Linked DNA regions of Saccharomyces cerevisiae S288C. The main gene of each other region encodes a partner of the protein of the gene in region 4 in a complex. Each region holds a gene or a part of one and is shown on either strand. Other genes may lie near its edges. A codon is read from its position in the direction of its gene.

Region 1 (4,539 bases), on a different chromosome or scaffold from region 4:
TGGGCAATGGGATGGATGGAAATTCCGTAATATGATTTTTGCCTACATCTCCATAACCTAATCCGAAGGGTAGATTGCTCATATAGTTGCTCCCGCCACCTCTACTGCCGCCCCTATAAGAACTCATGTTTGTTCGGGGTATATATGCTCGGTACTATCAAGTTACAATATCTTTCTGTCGTGTTGTTTTCTATAGGTTGCTGCGATGAGGAAACTATTTTCTTCTTTGAGATTTTTTCAAATTTCTCTTCATTTTTCATGCGGCCGCACAAGAGTTGAAACCACTGACGAAAGCAATTTCAGTTCATTGAGTTACACCTAGCGAGGCACTTCTTTGTGGAATGGTAGCCATTGTATTGAGATTTTTCTTGTCGACCATCAGCCTTTTTCTTCATAAGAGAAAAGAAGATCTCGTTCATGACTGCTAATTACTTTGAACGATCACCTCTGCAATGTGACATTTGTTCGAAAGCCGCCCATTAGTATTGAAAATAATTTATATTTTCAATTGGCTAGACTACGAAATTTGGACAAGCCATTGCTGCGTAATCCTTTCTCTTCTACGTCACAGTACATCTCTTTAAACCTTTTCGTTTCTCGGCTGTTTAAGGAAAGTATCGTCTTGCCGTATCTACATAAATCAATTCTTACCCATTTTCTTTTGCATTCTAGCCGTTAATTCACGGCTTAGTCGTTTGATATCGTGTTTGAATTGTGAATTGCATCATTCATGCGGAATGGGAATCATCGCAGTCGTTATCCGTCTCACAAACGTCGGCATTTGCTGACTATTAAGGCGACACGTAACCTACAAACTCAATTTGAGACGCAAACGCAAGTTGATTAGACGTTGAGAATGATGCAAGTAGCAACATCGGTAATGGTTAGACTATTTTATCAGAAAACTATAGAAAAACTAAAAACAAAACAATGTCACAATGACAAAGAGGAACCCATACATACACAGAGAGCCTATTCTTCCAGTAGTTCCTCAATATCAGCATCACTATCTGGGTCCAACCCTTGGTTTCTTCTCTTAGCCTCTTCCAAAGCGTTTTCAAACAACTCCTGTTGTCTTTTAACTCTTCTTCTAGTTTTCTTACCCCAACCGAAAGAAGTTGTTTCTGCTGTTGCAGCATCATCTGGCTTGTCGATCAGGTCTTTTGATCTCTTTTCCTCTTTGTCTCGTTTGTCCTTTTCCACTTGGGCAGCCAACTGCTTCTTCGCCAATTCCCTGGATGCGATATTTCTTAAGAGTAAATAACCACCTACAATTATCACCAATCTTATAAAGTGCTTGTAGTCATAGTTGACTAGTTTTGCCATCCAGGTATCCACCCATGTTTCCGCTACTTCAGACATCTCTTTCAATTACTCGGCAGTTTTTCTCTTCATAACATCTTTTCCTCATACAAACCGCCGAGTGCACATAAATACAACTACAAATAATAATATGTTGACATCGGATGGAGATCACTAACTAAACCGCCACCGCGCTAATTCTGCACAAATTCAAATTTCATCATCGCTCTCCACGTCATCATGGACGTCTTCCACCTCGGCGGATTCTTCGTCTTTTGATAGAATTTCCACAGCCCGCGGACGCACAAACGATCCGTGACCCGGCGCCACAGGCCCAAACAGTGTTACCCCATTTATGCGCCCATCGTTTTTGCCTGCGGCTTCCGGGAATTCCACACCGCACCATGTGCCCATCACGTCCAACGGTAGTGGTCCTACGTACCGTAAAATGGCCTCACGTGGAGCGCTCCCGTCTACTGTGACACGACAGTGGCGGCCGATAGCCGCCGTTAATTGCTCTCGGGCATATGCTTCGTCCTGCTTTGCCAGCGCAGCGCGCTGGCTCTGCTGTGCAGCATTAAACCTACCATAGCCGTGAGCCATCTTCCATCGTAATACGGATTGATCCCTTCGCAAATAATCCTCCTCGCTAATTACTTCCATTGAGGGGATTCCTTCCGCTTGCGTGGCCAGCTGGTTAGAGATTGATTGGGCATTAGAGTCTGTAACAACCACAATAAGCTCCTCCTCTCCTTTTAGGAAGTTGGCATCTTCATCCTCATTTGAATAGGCACCCCCCTTTTTAGTACTATATATCTCCTTGTTGTCGTACTGTCTTTTCACAACTATTTCCATATCCTCTGGTTCCACTCCGGTAACATGGTACAATCGGTCCTTGAACTGCCTTAATTTAAGCGAATTTGGTAATTCCTTTTCTGTACGGACCAATTCACTCTCTATGACAACTCTAACCATAGTTTTGCCATGTAATTTTTTTTTCTATCTCTTTATTTGAATTCGTTGCTCTATGTTCTTGTCGCTTGTCTTCTTCAACTGCCGTTTCCCTGCGAGCCGGAAAAAAGTACTGTTCTTTCGAACAAAGGCGAAAAAAGCTGTAGCTGAAAACAGACAACTGGGAAACGACAATTAAGAATACGCATGTACGTGTATACTACTACAGTAAAAAAGAAAGTTATTTGAGAGCAGCACTTTGTTTACTACACAGAACATTAACCAAAAAAACATGCATCAGCAACACTCCGTATGTTTCACTTCTTATTTTCTTCCGTGGCAATAACCTTCCTTTTGACTTATTTATACTAACATTATAATAACTATGTTTCCTTTTTGAACTAAGAAATCAGAGAACAAACCACAACAGCAAAGGAAAAAATTCGAAGGCCCTAAAAGAGAAGCTATTCTGGATTTAGCGAAGTATAAAGATTCTAAAATTCGCGTCAAATTAATGGGTGGTAAATTAGTTATAGGTGTCCTAAAAGGCTATGATCAACTGATGAACTTGGTACTTGATGATACAGTAGAATATATGTCTAATCCTGATGATGAAAACAACACTGAACTGATTTCTAAAAACGCAAGAAAGCTAGGTTTGACCGTCATAAGAGGTACTATTTTGGTCTCTTTAAGTTCCGCCGAAGGTTCTGATGTACTATATATGCAAAAATAGGTTTAATAATATAATCTCATATAAACTCCCTTCCTTACAGTTGAAAACAAAATCAAATCACGGTATGGCATTTCTTTACATATTCTCAATACCTGACTGACATAGTATGCGCTACATAGTTTTGTCCTATTTTTTTTACACCGCGATTTGAAGTCTAAAGCCAGAGAATGAGGAAAAACGAAACAAACTGAGATCATTTGTATAAGGGGAGTCACTGTACAGCTGCCAATACCAATTTTCCTTCTGCCAAATCAAAAAAGTATCCGCATACACATACACCCCTCCCTCTACAATCTTAATTATTTACTGATTCCTTTCGTATTTGTCCAGTATGAGCAATACTAAGCATACCACTTCTCATCACATGGAACTCAAAAGGATCATTATCCTTACACTTTTATTCATACTCATAATGTTGATATTTCGAAACTCAGTGTCCTTCAAAATGACATTTCAAGAACTACTGCCACGATTTTACAAAAAGAATTCAAACTCAGTTAGTAATAATAACAGGCCCTCATCTATTTTCTCGGAAAACTTGGTGGATTTTGATGATGTTAACATGGTCGATAAGACCAGACTGTTTATTTTTTTATTTTTCAGTTTCATCATTACTATACCGTTTATGGTATAAATTAGAAAAGTTAAAGCAGCATGTTTTCATTTGAAACAAATACTAATGCAATAATAGGTACACCATCTACTACATAATTAATTGATAGTTTCCTTTTCCGTTAAGTGCATGCATAGGACGCCCATAATTTTTTAAGTTAAAAAAGCATGTATTTACCTATTCGGGAAATTTACATGACATGGATGCCATAAGGAACGAAAATGAAACATGCATGTCAGAGGAAAAAGAACAAAGCGAGAGGAAAAAGCTGTTGCATTACCACGTAATTTTGTATATAAATATCTGATAAATAACCATTTTATTTCCATCCACTTCTTCTGTCGTTCATCCGTTCATTGACATCACTAGAGACACCAGCGAGCTATCATCTTCATACAACAATAACTACCAACCTTAATGCAACCGATCACCACTGCTTCCACACAAGCCACTCAGAAGGATAAATCCTCTGAAAAGAAAGACAACTATATAATCAAGGGCCTCTTCTGGGATCCCGCCTGTGTTATCGCTTAATTTTTGACGACAACCAAGAGGTCAAATCAATATCTACCCTTTCATTTATTACGTGTTGCTGGCAAACTAATTTATTCCAATTCTCTCATCATTAGCTCACCCTTTCCATACTTTTTCATACTTTTATACATATGTATTTGTAGTTATCACTTTAACAGATTTTTTCATGTTTTTCTTTTCTGATACGCCTTTCCCTCCGCAGGAAATGAAAGATGAACCACCCATTACATTCGATTTTTTTTTTAATTATATTTTTGACTATTATTTAATCATTAAAAACACATATATTTCATAAATTCGTAAGGTCGTTAGTTCTATCGTAAAAGTGAAAAAGTTTTGAGCCAGTTTTCAAAAACCCGCAGGATCCCACTATGTATGGCTTTAAATAATGGTTTTTCACGTG
Region 2 (4,215 bases), on a different chromosome or scaffold from region 4:
GCAAATGTTAGACTTAGGTACCCAAGTGAAAGAAGCCATTTTAGATTTTGAAAATGATGTCGAAAAGAGGACATGTTTCCATTGCAAGACGTTAAACTACGCACGCCCTCAATCTAATTAAGTATTAGAAGAGTTGTTAGTTGTACTTTTATAGCTCTCTTGTTACGTAAGATTGCGGCACTAAGATGCGGTGCCAATTTTTTTTTTTTTTCTCTTGATCAAAGCAGCTAGCTGTTCATCAAGATATGTAACGTTTTTAAGCACTGAACTAACAAGGGGAGCCAGTGAACGACTATGTCTTCACAAGATGTTCTGATACATTCAGATGATCCGTGCCATCCAGCAAATCTCATTTGCACGCTATGCAAGCAGTTTTTTCATAATAATTGGTGCACCGGAACTGGAGGTGGGATTTCAATAAAAGATCCTAACACGAATTATTATTATCTCGCCCCATCTGGGGTGCAGAAGGAGAAGATGATACCTGAGGATTTGTTTGTCATGGACGCTCAGACATTAGAGTATTTGCGCTCTCCCAAGCTTTACAAGCCAAGCGCATGTACTCCATTGTTCTTAGCGTGCTACCAAAAGAAAAATGCAGGTGCTATAATACATACACACTCCCAAAATGCTGTGATATGCTCCTTGCTATTTGGCGATGAGTTCAGGATTGCTAACATCGAACAAATCAAAGCAATTCCAAGCGGAAAGGTGGACCCTGTGACCAAGAAACCCATGGCGCTATCGTTTTTTGATACGCTGAAGATTCCCATCATTGAAAACATGGCGCATGAGGACGAGTTGATCGATGACTTGCACAAGACTTTTAAAGATTATCCAGACACATGCGCCGTAATTGTGAGGAGACATGGCATTTTTGTTTGGGGTCCGACAATCGATAAGGCCAAAATTTTCAACGAAGCCATCGATTATTTGATGGAGCTGGCCATAAAGATGTACCAAATGGGGATTCCTCCCGACTGTGGCATTGGCGAAGAGAAGAAGCATCTGAAGATGGCCAGTCCGTGACGGGTTAATGCTTAAATTTATTGTATGATTTATATACTTCTATACATGGTATTATTATTATTATTATTATTATTATTATTATTATTATTATTATTATTACTATTATTGCAACTATATTATTTTGTCTTTGATTCGTACACTTTTTCCCATATTACATGCTCATTTTCGATTTTATTCTTGGTGTCCTTTAGCATTGGGACCTTCTTTTCGTCTATAGGAGCTAGACTGTCATCATTTTCTGCATCTATGAGGCCAACAAGAGCAATCTCGCTGCCTCGAAGTAACTGTGCCTTGCAGATGAATTCCTTGCTTATGCGGTTGAAAACATTGGTTATGAATAGATTAGTATTTTTGTCGAAGCCGTTTAGGCTTGCTATGAGGCATTCGCCGTCAACTTTGATTATAACAACTCTTTTATTTAAGTAGTCTTTCAAGGTGGCTGACATGGTGCACGATAGTGTGTTCTTCTTGTATGGTGTACTGTATGCAGCTTGCTGGTCCATCTTATAAGAACCACGTAAGATTAGTTTTTTTTTTTCCCTTTACGCCATGATAGTATTTTCAGGACTTAAAGGGAAAATCAACAAGAACAGAAAGAAGGAAAACAAGCAAAACAAGGATACTGCAGACGTGTAGAAACATTTAGTAAAATGGTCGCTAGAGGTAGAACAGACGAGATATCTACAGATGTTTCAGAGGCTAATTCTGAACACTCGTTGATGATTACAGAAACATCATCACCGTTCAGATCTATATTCTCCCACAGTGGGAAAGTAGCGAATGCAGGCGCTTTAGAGGAATCGGACAAGCAGATACTGGAATGGGCAGGTAAACTGGAATTGGAGAGTATGGAGCTGAGGGAAAACTCTGACAAGCTAATTAAAGTTTTAAATGAAAATTCTAAGACATTATGTAAATCGCTAAACAAGTTTAACCAGCTACTGGAACAAGATGCTGCTACGAACGGTTCGTACCAACACAGTGCATACCCTCAAGTTTTTTATTCATTTTCTTCCAAAACACATTTACTAACAACTGTAGTATAGGAAACGTGAAAACCTTAATAAAGGATTTGGCTTCCCAGATTGAAAACCAACTGGACAAAGTGTCAACAGCAATGTTATCGAAAGGCGACGAGAAGAAGACAAAGTCGGATTCCAGCTACAGGCAGGTATTAGTCGAAGAAATAAGCAGGTATAATTCCAAGATAACGCGACACGTAACTAACAAGCAGCATGAGACGGAAAAGTCGATGAGGTGCACCCAGGAGATGCTCTTCAACGTCGGCAGCCAACTGGAGGACGTGCATAAAGTGCTCCTGTCTCTATCCAAAGACATGCACAGTCTACAAACCCGCCAGACTGCTCTAGAGATGGCGTTTCGAGAAAAGGCAGATCACGCCTACGATCGCCCGGATGTGTCTCTGAATGGCACCACACTCCTGCACGATATGGACGAAGCCCACGATAAGCAGCGTAAGAAGTCCGTGCCGCCACCAAGAATGATGGTCACAAGGTCCATGAAACGCAGAAGATCCAGCTCCCCAACCCTATCCACCAGCCAAAACCACAATAGCGAAGACAATGATGACGCTAGCCATCGGCTGAAGCGTGCGGCCAGGACCATTATTCCCTGGGAGGAACTAAGACCCGACACTCTGGAATCTGAGCTGTGAAACGGGCGTCCTGCTTTTTCATTCTACACAGGCATATGTAACAGCAGTGTATAGGCTATGTAAATCGGCCCAATCAACAAACAAGCGTTGCTTATTGGACTTGCTACTACCCCAACAAAGGAGAGAGCCTTTGATTGCATCCTCGGAAGAGACGGCATAAACACCGAGCCTCATCCTACAATGAAAAACCACGCCAGTTGGATATAAACCAGAAAAGGGTTTCAATTCAGTATCCACCATGAGCAAGACAAGATAAGACAAGATTGCATAAAAATGAGTGCTTCCAAAATGGCCATGTCCAACCTAGAGAAAATATTGGAACTGGTTCCTCTTTCGCCTACCAGTTTTGTCACAAAGTATCTGCCTGCCGCGCCCGTAGGGTCTAAGGGCACTTTTGGTGGAACGCTGGTATCACAATCGCTGCTGGCGTCATTGCATACTGTGCCATTGAACTTCTTCCCCACATCGCTACATTCGTATTTCATCAAGGGTGGTGATCCGCGGACCAAGATCACGTACCATGTGCAGAATCTGAGAAACGGTAGAAATTTCATCCATAAGCAGGTTAGTGCTTATCAGCACGACAAGTTGATATTTACGTCGATGATCTTATTTGCCGTGCAACGGTCCAAGGAGCACGACTCCTTGCAGCACTGGGAGACGATTCCAGGCCTGCAAGGTAAGCAGCCAGACCCTCATCGTTATGAAGAGGCCACTTCGCTTTTCCAGAAAGAAGTTCTGGACCCACAGAAATTGAGCAGGTATGCCTCATTGTCCGACAGGTTCCAAGACGCAACCTCGATGAGCAAGTATGTGGATGCGTTTCAATACGGAGTCATGGAGTACCAATTCCCCAAGGACATGTTCTACTCGGCAAGACACACCGACGAGCTGGATTATTTCGTCAAAGTGAGACCTCCCATCACTACCGTGGAGCACGCGGGCGACGAGTCTTCTTTACACAAGCATCATCCGTACAGGATCCCGAAGAGCATTACTCCTGAGAACGACGCTCGCTACAACTACGTGGCCTTTGCGTATCTGTCCGATTCCTACCTCCTACTCACGATCCCGTACTTCCACAACCTGCCTTTGTACTGCCACAGTTTCAGTGTCTCGCTCGACCACACGATTTACTTTCACCAGTTGCCTCATGTGAACAATTGGATCTATCTTAAGATTTCGAATCCCAGGTCCCACTGGGACAAGCACCTCGTACAGGGCAAGTATTTCGACACACAGTCGGGACGCATCATGGCAAGCGTCTCTCAGGAGGGCTACGTTGTCTACGGGTCAGAACGAGACATTCGAGCCAAGTTCTGAGGACAATTCCCTCCCACGTATAAACACATACATATATATTCTTATATTATATAATAATATCCTATTTATTATTACATCACCTTTCACGAGCGGGTATCATACCTTTTTCCCTTCGATCTAAGTAGAAAAAGGACCTGAATGATCATTGTGGTACTTATTCCCACGCATAACCGACTACGGCACCACAA
Region 3 (4,526 bases), on a different chromosome or scaffold from region 4:
GTGCCTAACTCATGGGAAAAATGGGCCGCCCAGGGTGGTGCCTTGTCCGTTTTCGATGATCAATCCCTGGGATGCAGTATCGTCAATGACACTCCATAAGGCTTCCTTAACCAAAGTCAAAGAACTCTTCTTTTCATTCTCTTTCACTTTCTTACCGCCATCTAGATCAATATCCATTTCGTCTTCTAGCTTAGCGCTTGCGTCAACCAATAATTTTCTCTGTGTAGCATATTTTAAGTTTCTCTCGATTTTCTTAGCTCTCTTTTTGGAAAGTGTCCTCGTGGTGATGGAGGCCGGAGAAGATGAAGCATTTTGTAATGTCACAGCAGTGGAATTCTGACTTTCGTTCTTCTTGTTTTGGAAGTATAGGTCCAACGCTACTGATTTTATTTCCCCAGATTTCGAATTTACGCTGGATCTAGCTGGCTTCAAGAGACCAGCTCTTTCTCTTTGAGCTCTTTTCTTATTTAAAGAGTGCACCTTGTGGTGCAAATTTGAAGTCAGCTTAGGTCTGTTGATGGAGTTTTTAGAAGGCATTATGGGTTGGCTGTGCTAGTCTCTTCGGCAAGCACCTCATCGACTAATGCCGCCATAAGTTATAACCATATATTAATATTGATACTCTCTATGAAAATTTTAGCGAAAAAAAATTTTGCGATGAGATCATTCCAAACGGATTGACGCGTGGAAGAAACCGGCGATTTTCTGGTTTCTGGTTCTTTGATGGAAGTTGGACGAGACGGTGAAGAATAGAACAAGGGACAGGTTAACTAGACTCAATCGATTAAAAACATACATACTACCAGGGCAAAATGTCTGAAAATAAGAACTCTGAGGCTGAAGACGTATTTGAATTTTTAGATTCTTTGCCAGAAGCAAAGAATGGCGGGAAAATGGTTAATACTGACGTAAAGGGTAGCCAAGAAGGCGTTAAGGGAGGTTCTAATTCTGTGGCGGGCAAGACCGGGAATGATGGAAAGAAAGGTGACGATGATATCTTTGAATTCTTAGAAGAGTTGGAGAAGAGTAACTTAAGCTTAACTGACAAGAAAGGGGTTGAAAAGAAGGCTCCCAGTGAATCAGTTAATAATAAAGCACAAGACGAAAAAGTAGAAGAATCAAAAGAAAACAAAAATTCCGAGCAGGACGCTCACGGAAAGGAAAAGGAACCACAGCAGCAGGAGAAAGAAGAAGAAGAGGAGGAAGAAGAAGAAGAAGAAGAGGAGGAGGAGGAGACCCCATTGCATGACCCAATTGCTTCTATTTCAAACTGGTGGTCCTCCTCTGGATCCGCAAAGGTATCGAGTATTTGGAATAAAACTGCAGAACAAGCATCCCAGATCAAAAACCGACTTGCCCAAGAACAGCTTGATTTGACTTCAAAGATAAACACGAGCACGATTACTGAAATAGCCAGAAACTTACAGAAAATCGTTGTTGGTGAGACTGAAGAGGTGCTGCGAATTCATCTAGTCCATGATTTGGTTAACTATCCCTCATTACAATACAATATTGAAAGCAAGTTTGATCAAGTTCTAAGCTCACAAGTTGAGGGAGGAATCAGAATATTTGTAGATGAATGGGGCCATCCTAACAATAATGGAATTACACCTGTGGAAAAAAAGCCTTCAGTTGCAGACGGTGAGTTAGGCAACTCTAAAAAAAAATTACAGTTTAATCTATTCGACGGCAAGGTAACAGACGGTGAGAAACTGGCATTTGCAAACCTGGAAAATGCAGTCAAACTCTTCAATACTGCACATGAGGAATACCAGAAACAACAGAAAGAGGCTGATGCCACTCCAGATGACGATAGGAGTTCTATTAGCAGTAACAGCAATAAAATCAGTGATTTATTCATATCCATCTTACCAATTGCCATTCCGCAAAAACAAAAAGATGCCGACGGTGACTTTCAAGTGACCGACTCCAATACGCCAGGCAATTTCAATTTCACCCTTGTATTGAAAGACATAACTAACGATATTACCACCATAACAAGATCACAAGGATTCCCTGTCAAATGGGTCAATTGGCTAGAAGGATCCGTGGAGAAAACAGGATCAACAGCAAGTGAGGAGAGGAATAAGTCATACGATCAAAAGAAACAAAAAGAAAGTGAAGACGAAGACGAAGACGATGAGATCATTGATCCTAGTGAATGGGTAAAGGAATGGATCGAAGATGGATTAAGCTTGTCATTTGGGGTCATGGCACAGAATTATGTCATTGACCGTATGGGTCTTTGATACACTTAATACATAACATTTATAGCGTAACGATGATGTATAAAGTTACAAGCGCAGAGGAGTGGGTTCAAATTCGGCCGACTTGTTACCCGCGTTCGTTGAATAATGGAAAATATGAAAAAAATAGAGGAAGTCGTGAATATACAACGGTGTTCAGCACCTGTATTTCAATCTAGGGGAAGCCTGTATGACCAAGGGCTGATTAAATATTAGTGAAGATACAAGTAACACAGTTTAGTTATATTTTCTTTTCCTTTTCAACAGGATTGCCAACGCTGCAGTAGAGTTATACCAACATTTGCTCCGCTTTCAAAACCTATAAAAGAAAGCAGCCCTCGAATCGAATTAATTCACCAAAAATGTCTGCAAATAGCAAGGACAGAAATCAGTCCAATCAGGATGCGAAGCGACAACAGCAGAATTTCCCAAAGAAGATTTCAGAAGGTGAGGCCGATTTATATCTCGACCAGTATAACTTCACTACCACCGCTGCTATTGTAAGCTCAGTAGACCGTAAAATCTTCGTTCTTTTGCGTGATGGAAGAATGCTATTCGGTGTACTAAGAACCTTTGACCAATATGCAAATTTGATACTTCAAGATTGCGTGGAGAGAATATATTTTAGCGAAGAAAACAAATACGCTGAAGAAGACCGCGGCATATTCATGATTCGTGGTGAAAATGTTGTCATGTTAGGCGAAGTAGACATCGATAAAGAAGATCAACCCCTTGAGGCCATGGAACGCATACCATTTAAGGAGGCTTGGCTGACCAAGCAAAAAAATGATGAGAAAAGGTTTAAAGAGGAAACCCACAAAGGTAAAAAAATGGCCCGCCATGGTATCGTTTACGATTTCCATAAATCTGACATGTACTAAGAAAGAAAAACACAATACTACCAACATATATCCTGGAGTAAACTCTCAAAAATTTCCACATTCAGTTTTACCTATCCGTACACTTAATCAACTGCCTTTGGAGATGGAACAATAAAAAAAATGCAAGAGAGGAGGCCGTATTTGTATATAAATTAATATATTTAAATGTAAAATATATACAGTACTTGAGTTTTTTTATGAAGTAACGTATTTGCGCAGCATTCTTTTTCCTCTTACACTTCGTTATAACATTAACACTCATGCTATTGATACTTTTTCTTTATTATTATCTATAAAATTTTTTCGCTTTTTGTTTATGCCATGCCGTTAGCAACGAATTTTTTTCCATGCTCATCACTTTTAAAACTGTTTAAAGTATATAGAAAATATATGTGAATAAGATCGGGGTGGGACTATCAGGTAGCTAAGATTACGCAGATTTAGAAATGTCAACAAATTGTTTTTCCGGTTACAAAGACCTCATCAAGGAAGGCGATTTAACTCTAATATGGGTTTCTAGAGATAACATCAAACCGGTAAGGATGCATTCCGAAGAGGTATTCAATACTCGTTATGGTTCATTTCCTCATAAGGATATCATAGGTAAACCTTATGGTTCTCAAATTGCTATAAGAACAAAGGGCTCAAATAAGTTTGCATTCGTCCATGTTCTGCAACCAACTCCTGAATTGTGGACTTTGTCGTTACCACACAGAACTCAAATTGTATATACGCCCGACTCTTCCTACATCATGCAAAGGTTGAATTGTAGCCCTCACAGCAGAGTGATCGAGGCAGGTACAGGCTCAGGATCATTTTCGCACGCTTTTGCAAGATCTGTAGGTCATCTTTTTAGTTTTGAATTTCATCACATAAGATACGAACAAGCATTAGAGGAATTCAAAGAGCATGGACTTATTGATGATAACGTTACGATTACACATCGGGATGTTTGCCAAGGTGGATTTCTTATAAAGAAGGGAGACACTACATCTTACGAATTTGGCAATAATGAAACCGCCGCTTCATTGAATGCAAATGTAGTGTTTTTAGATCTGCCGGCTCCCTGGGATGCTATACCTCATCTGGATTCTGTTATTTCCGTAGACGAAAAGGTCGGATTGTGTTGCTTCTCCCCATGCATTGAGCAAGTAGACAAAACATTGGATGTATTAGAGAAATATGGCTGGACGGATGTTGAAATGGTGGAAATTCAAGGTAGACAGTACGAAAGTCGAAGACAAATGGTCAGATCACTCAATGATGCCCTGGAAAGGTTGAGAGATATTAAGAGGCACAAACTCCAGGGTGTAGAAAGACGCAAGCGGATGTTTAACAATACAATAGATTCTAACGATGAAAAAGTTGGAAAAAGAAACGAGGATGGCGTACCATTAAC
Region 4 (4,509 bases):
TGATAATGATAAAAATACCATAGTCGGCTTTGAAGTATATCCAAGATCTGTGTCAGATTATCATTGTCCTGGGGCATCGAAGAACTACGAACAATACGAAATAGTCATTCCTGAGGATGAAAATGAGTTGACATATTTGCCATTTACTTACTCCGTATATTGGAGGGAAGAATTTGAAGTAGACTGGAATCATAGATGGGATTATTTCTTGAACGCAGGTGAGTTATCTGACGAACAGAGCATTCAGTTTCATTGGATGAGCTTAGCCAATTCAGTGGGAATTGTATTGTCCATCTCATTTATCACGCTTATTATTTACGTACGAGTCATGTACACGGATAAAAGTAATTCAAAGTCCCCCAAATACATGATAAATATAGAAGGAATTGAAACAGAGGATGACCTGGACGATGACAAGTATGGTAAATACTCCGTTTACACGGTGGCGAAAGACTGGATACAAAATGGTAGACCAAATTTATTTGGTTTAAAAGTTTTAATCCTTCTGGTCTCATTTGGGGTGCAATTTTTATTTACCATAATTGGATCCTTAACGATATCATGTTCAATGAACAAATTGCATAATGTAAGAAACAGTGTGCTAACTATGGCCATTTTATTTTTCGTACTTGGAGCATTCATGGCATCATTCGTAGGGACAAGACTCAGTATGGTAACGAAAACGAAAAGAACCAAGGCCAATTACCTTGACGATAACAGATACCTCAAAGACTACAAGAAGTTTAGTCCCATTTTTACGATACTTTGTGGGTCCAGCTTACCTGGCATTGTAATGGTGAGCACATTTTTATTAAATAGTATTGTTTGGGCACATGATTCTACAAGTGCATTACCATTCAAGACTATTGTGTTTTTCATGAGCATTTATTTCATCGTCTGTATACCACTCAGCTTGTTTGGTGGTATTGTAGCTAATAATATACCTTTGCCTCAATATTGGTTGAGTGGAATTACTAAAGATGAAAGCAATAGCGATGGCAATGGATTATTTGTACCTAAATCACGAGCCAAGTTCAACCCGTTGGTTTACTGCGGCATTTATTTATGTGGTATTTTCCCCTTGTTAGTAATTTACGTGGAAATGCAATACGTTTACAAATCTCTCTGGTTGGAGAAAACTACATTTTATTATTTTTACGGATTCCTTTTTTTGAGTATCATACTATTATGCGTGTTAACTATGGAGATATCAATTATTGGAAGTTATTTATTAATGAGATTTTGCTTCGAAGATAAGGTGGTTCGCAACAATTGGAGATGGAAGTGCTTTGAAATGGGATTTAGCGGTGGTGTATATATGGAATTGTATTCGCTATATTACATTTTCGCAGTGCTAAACATCCATGGGTTTTCATCTATCTTAATTTCCATTTGTTATAGTTTAATCTTCAACGTAATGTGCAGTTTAGGGCTTGGCGCATTAAGTTACTTAACGGCTTCATGGTTTATAAATAAAATATACCACCAGAAAGTCAACCTGTAAACTAAAGGAAAGCTCGGTAATAAAAAGAAGAAAAGCTTTTTTTAAAGAAAACGGTAATCAACATTCACATACACACACAGTACATATGTACCAATATATTTATATATGTACATAATTATTATAATACAAAATTTGTTTAAAATTCGACCTTTTGTGGAGAAGAGCTGTTAAAATGATGTTGGACGGACCCACCTAAACCATTGTTCATATTTTGGTTGTTGCTATTGATACTGTTGATACTGTTGTTAATGTTACTGCTGTTGCTGTTGTTGTATTGACGGTTTTGAGAGTATGGACGGCGGTTGCTGTTGCCGTTATTATTATTTCTTCTGTTGTAGTTACCTCTATTGTTGTTTGAATCCCTATTGTTGTAGTATCTTTTATGCCCAGGGCCGTTACTATTAGAGTTATTGTTGGAGTTAATTTGCTGCTTGACCTTGTCAATTATATTATCTTGCAATTTGATAAACTTGATAAAAGTCCCTCTAATATAAATTTCGTTCAATTTTACGGCTTTACTGCTCTCAGCATTGTCTTCTGAATTAATTGCGCTTTCTTCACTATATTCGGTTACATTAGATAAAGTAAGGTTCATCCAGTTATCTACGTTGGTCAATATCCCTTGTATAATTTCACCGTTTTTCAATTCTATTTGCATTTGTTGTCCCTTCGCATTTGTTAAAAGATATAAAGGTAGCATTGAGAAAAAATATTCTATTGTGTTTCTTTTCAGTTCGAGTTGAAGATTTATCAGTTTTTCAACTCTGTTTTACTAATACTACTTCGTTAATTTACTTTTACGATTTCCTTCTTTACCGCTTCCATCATTAGGAAGGTCTATGATACTACGATTTCACGAAAGAAAGCTGCAATAATTGAACATCATTGCTACTCCGTAAAACATGATAGTAAGAGTGCTTATCACGTGACACGTGTGCGGCAAATTTCGTAATTGATGATCAAAATGCGTGTGGGCGGCTACAATGCGGAATTTGCCTTTTTCATAGTACAGGAAACTGGCGGTAAAGGAAAAGTAGTACTTTAAACTCATTTAAAATTACTTATCACTATGAATATCTTTAAATTATTGTTATACATAATAAACTATCTATTAAAAAAAAGATGCTACCCAATTCACGTTGTCCATGGTTATTTTAGAGCCTAAAAATAAAAGGCAGTAGGTTTAGAGGGACTTCAGTACAAGTAGATAACGAACGAAGCAATTACTCTGTGTACGGTGGCGGAAAAAATGAAATGTTACTTAAGAAGGAGGTAATATAAGTACATTACATTTCAACCGCATTGTGACTGCGTACTTTAAACGATAGGTGACTGCGGATCTTAGGTCGTTTAGCAGCATACGAAAATTAGTTTTACTAAACTAGACATCTAGTAAAAGGCTGTCGAAATCTCTCAATTTAAAGAGAACCTGCTACTGACTATAAATTTTGTCACTACAAATTATTGGTTTAATCTAGCCTTCATTATGGATACAATTACCTTCGGCGGCTAAAAACAACTTGATTTTGTTACCCGCGTTTGAAGTGACGCGTCACTAACCATGACGCGAAAGTTAATTATATTCAGCTCCCCGCCTGCTTATTTCCCGTTTAGGAAATAAATGGTTAACCTAACAAAAAAAAAAGAGGAACAAGGACTAAGAAGCACGTCAACGTGAAAAACGCACAAAAGATATTATAGTTATTGCCATCCTTTAGCATTGGTTTAGCATATCAACTAATTGACTAATATTTGCTGCTAAATTCAACTGGAAGCTTTTTTTTTTTTCGAGATAATAAAAAAAGAAACTCTTTAGTGTATTGTGTTATTTTTACTATTAATTGTTGTTACAGCAGAATCACATCTAGCATTGGTCGTCGCTTTTTCAAACGATTCTTCCTCCACTTACCCTTTGAAAAAAAGGTACATTATTTCACGTTATTTGATATATTGTCAACAATAATTGCTCTTTGCCGAAAATTAACTCTTCTTTCTTTCTCATTTCCCTTCTGTCCCTCTTGCGTAGTTCTAAAAGGTTGATTTATTCGAGAAATCATGCCATTTGATGTTTTGATATCAAACCAAAAAGATAATACCAATCACCAGAACATCACGCCAATATCAAAATCAGTTCTTTTGGCGCCTCATTCAAACCATCCAGTGATTGAAATAGCTACGTATTCAGAAACCGATGTATACGAATGCTATATACGTGGGTTTGAAACTAAAATAGTGATGAGAAGAACTAAAGATGATTGGATTAATATTACCCAGGTTTTCAAAATAGCTCAATTTTCGAAGACGAAAAGAACTAAAATACTGGAAAAGGAATCAAATGATATGCAACATGAAAAAGTTCAAGGTGGGTATGGTAGGTTTCAAGGTACTTGGATCCCACTGGATTCAGCGAAGTTTTTAGTCAATAAGTACGAAATAATTGACCCTGTGGTCAACTCCATCTTAACTTTTCAATTCGATCCAAATAACCCTCCACCAAAGAGAAGCAAAAATAGTATATTGAGGAAGACTTCGCCGGGAACGAAGATAACTTCTCCATCGAGCTACAATAAAACACCAAGAAAAAAGAACAGTAGTTCATCAACATCGGCTACAACTACAGCTGCGAATAAGAAAGGCAAGAAAAATGCATCGATCAACCAGCCGAATCCAAGTCCTTTACAAAACCTTGTTTTCCAAACTCCTCAACAGTTCCAAGTAAATTCATCAATGAATATAATGAACAATAATGATAACCACACCACGATGAATTTCAACAATGACACAAGACACAATTTAATAAATAATATTAGTAACAACAGCAATCAATCTACTATTATTCAACAACAAAAATCCATTCATGAAAACTCTTTCAATAATAATTATTCGGCAACTCAGAAACCTCTTCAATTTTTTCCAATTCCGACAAATTTACAAAACAAGAACGTTGCTCTGAATAACCCTAATAATAATGACAGTAATAGTTACAGCCATAACATCGACAATGT

What was found.
Region 1: the proteins of LSM4 (region 4) and LSM7 are in contact, whole or in part, in a crystal structure (PDB 4M78), measured with the Saccharomyces cerevisiae proteins. Residues at the interface, in NP_011037.3 of Saccharomyces cerevisiae: Glu23 (codon at 2,138), Asn31 (codon at 2,114), Val32 (codon at 2,111), Asp33 (codon at 2,108), Asn37 (codon at 2,096), Leu38 (codon at 2,093), Thr39 (codon at 2,090), Glu45 (codon at 2,072), Leu66 (codon at 2,009), Glu68 (codon at 2,003), Ile69 (codon at 2,000), Tyr70 (codon at 1,997), Ile71 (codon at 1,994), Arg72 (codon at 1,991), Phe75 (codon at 1,982); in NP_014252.2 of Saccharomyces cerevisiae: Ile27 (codon at 2,720), Leu28 (codon at 2,723), Lys32 (codon at 2,735), Tyr33 (codon at 2,738), Arg39 (codon at 2,756), Lys41 (codon at 2,762), Leu58 (codon at 2,813), Met59 (codon at 2,816), Gly96 (codon at 2,927), Thr97 (codon at 2,930), Leu99 (codon at 2,936), Val100 (codon at 2,939), Ser101 (codon at 2,942), Leu102 (codon at 2,945), Ser103 (codon at 2,948), Ser104 (codon at 2,951).
Region 2: the proteins of LSM4 (region 4) and LSM8 are in contact, whole or in part, in a crystal structure (PDB 4M77), measured with the Saccharomyces cerevisiae proteins. Residues at the interface, in NP_011037.3 of Saccharomyces cerevisiae: Met1 (codon at 2,204), Leu2 (codon at 2,201), Pro3 (codon at 2,198), Leu6 (codon at 2,189), Leu7 (codon at 2,186), Lys20 (codon at 2,147), Trp35 (codon at 2,102), Met36 (codon at 2,099), Gly73 (codon at 1,988), Thr74 (codon at 1,985), Ile76 (codon at 1,979), Lys77 (codon at 1,976), Phe78 (codon at 1,973), Ile79 (codon at 1,970), Lys80 (codon at 1,967), Leu81 (codon at 1,964), Gln82 (codon at 1,961), Asp83 (codon at 1,958), Ile85 (codon at 1,952); in NP_012556.2 of Saccharomyces cerevisiae: Asn28 (codon at 1,394), Gly29 (codon at 1,391), Phe30 (codon at 1,388), Asp31 (codon at 1,385), Asn35 (codon at 1,373), Phe37 (codon at 1,367), Ile50 (codon at 1,328), Lys52 (codon at 1,322), Ala53 (codon at 1,319), Gln54 (codon at 1,316), Leu55 (codon at 1,313), Leu56 (codon at 1,310), Arg57 (codon at 1,307), Ser59 (codon at 1,301), Glu60 (codon at 1,298).
Region 3: the proteins of LSM4 (region 4) and LSM1 are in contact, whole or in part, in a crystal structure (PDB 4M75), measured with the Saccharomyces cerevisiae proteins. Residues at the interface, in NP_011037.3 of Saccharomyces cerevisiae: Met1 (codon at 2,204), Leu2 (codon at 2,201), Pro3 (codon at 2,198), Leu6 (codon at 2,189), Glu18 (codon at 2,153), Lys20 (codon at 2,147), Trp35 (codon at 2,102), Met36 (codon at 2,099), Gly73 (codon at 1,988), Thr74 (codon at 1,985), Ile76 (codon at 1,979), Lys77 (codon at 1,976), Phe78 (codon at 1,973), Ile79 (codon at 1,970), Lys80 (codon at 1,967), Leu81 (codon at 1,964), Gln82 (codon at 1,961), Asp83 (codon at 1,958), Ile85 (codon at 1,952), Ile86 (codon at 1,949); in NP_012411.1 of Saccharomyces cerevisiae: Val47 (codon at 2,747), Val50 (codon at 2,756), Asp51 (codon at 2,759), Leu58 (codon at 2,780), Asp60 (codon at 2,786), Arg62 (codon at 2,792), Arg69 (codon at 2,813), Thr70 (codon at 2,816), Phe71 (codon at 2,819), Asp72 (codon at 2,822), Asn76 (codon at 2,834), Ile78 (codon at 2,840), Gln80 (codon at 2,846), Arg99 (codon at 2,903), Gly100 (codon at 2,906), Ile101 (codon at 2,909), Phe102 (codon at 2,912), Met103 (codon at 2,915), Ile104 (codon at 2,918), Arg105 (codon at 2,921), Glu107 (codon at 2,927), Asn108 (codon at 2,930), Ser169 (codon at 3,113).

Annotation. Positions count from the first base shown.
Region 1 is NC_001146.8:348,395-352,933, forward strand, and holds LSM7 (Sm-like protein LSM7), read left to right. Parts: upstream 1-2,545; coding exon 2,546-2,563; intron 2,564-2,659; coding exon 2,660-2,989; downstream 2,990-4,539. Other genes in the region: RPC31 (DNA-directed RNA polymerase III subunit C31), read right to left, coding at 1-127; PGA2 (Pga2p), read right to left, coding at 973-1,362; ALF1 (Alf1p), read right to left, coding at 1,513-2,277; YNL146C-A (uncharacterized protein), read right to left, coding at 2,992-3,186; YNL146W (uncharacterized protein), read left to right, coding at 3,321-3,623; MFA2 (mating pheromone a), read left to right, coding at 4,020-4,136; MPF1 (Mpf1p), read right to left, coding at 4,426-4,539. UniProt on the Saccharomyces cerevisiae protein: Component of LSm protein complexes, which are involved in RNA processing and may function in a chaperone-like manner. Component of the cytoplasmic LSM1-LSM7 complex which is involved in mRNA degradation by activating the decapping step.
Region 2 is NC_001142.9:467,044-471,258, reverse strand, and holds LSM8 (U4/U6-U5 snRNP complex subunit LSM8), read right to left. Parts: upstream 1,476-4,215; coding exon 1,146-1,475; downstream 1-1,145. Other genes in the region: BNA1 (3-hydroxyanthranilate 3,4-dioxygenase), read left to right, coding at 1-121; methylthioribulose 1-phosphate dehydratase MDE1, read left to right, coding at 295-1,029; REC107 (Rec107p), read left to right, coding at 1,680-1,995, 2,076-2,704; TES1 (palmitoyl-CoA hydrolase), read left to right, coding at 2,978-4,027. UniProt on the Saccharomyces cerevisiae protein: Component of the nuclear LSM2-LSM8 complex, which is involved in spliceosome assembly. The LSM2-LSM8 complex plays a role in the biogenesis of the spliceosomal U4/U6-U5 tri-snRNP complex by accelerating PRP24-mediated annealing of U4/U6 di-snRNA.
Region 3 is NC_001142.9:185,727-190,252, reverse strand, and holds LSM1 (Lsm1p), read left to right. Parts: upstream 1-2,608; coding exon 2,609-3,127; downstream 3,128-4,526. Other genes in the region: ALB1 (Alb1p), read right to left, coding at 10-537; DUF5427 domain-containing protein MTC1, read left to right, coding at 813-2,249; tRNA 1-methyladenosine methyltransferase subunit GCD14, read left to right, coding at 3,574-4,526. UniProt on the Saccharomyces cerevisiae protein: Component of the cytoplasmic LSM1-LSM7 complex which is involved in mRNA degradation by activating the decapping step.
Region 4 is NC_001137.3:384,927-389,435, reverse strand, and holds LSM4 (U6 snRNA complex subunit LSM4), read right to left. Parts: upstream 2,205-4,509; coding exon 1,641-2,204; downstream 1-1,640. Other genes in the region: TMN3 (Tmn3p), read left to right, coding at 1-1,504; SBF complex DNA-binding subunit SWI4, read left to right, coding at 3,560-4,509. UniProt on the Saccharomyces cerevisiae protein: Component of LSm protein complexes, which are involved in RNA processing and may function in a chaperone-like manner. Component of the cytoplasmic LSM1-LSM7 complex which is involved in mRNA degradation by activating the decapping step.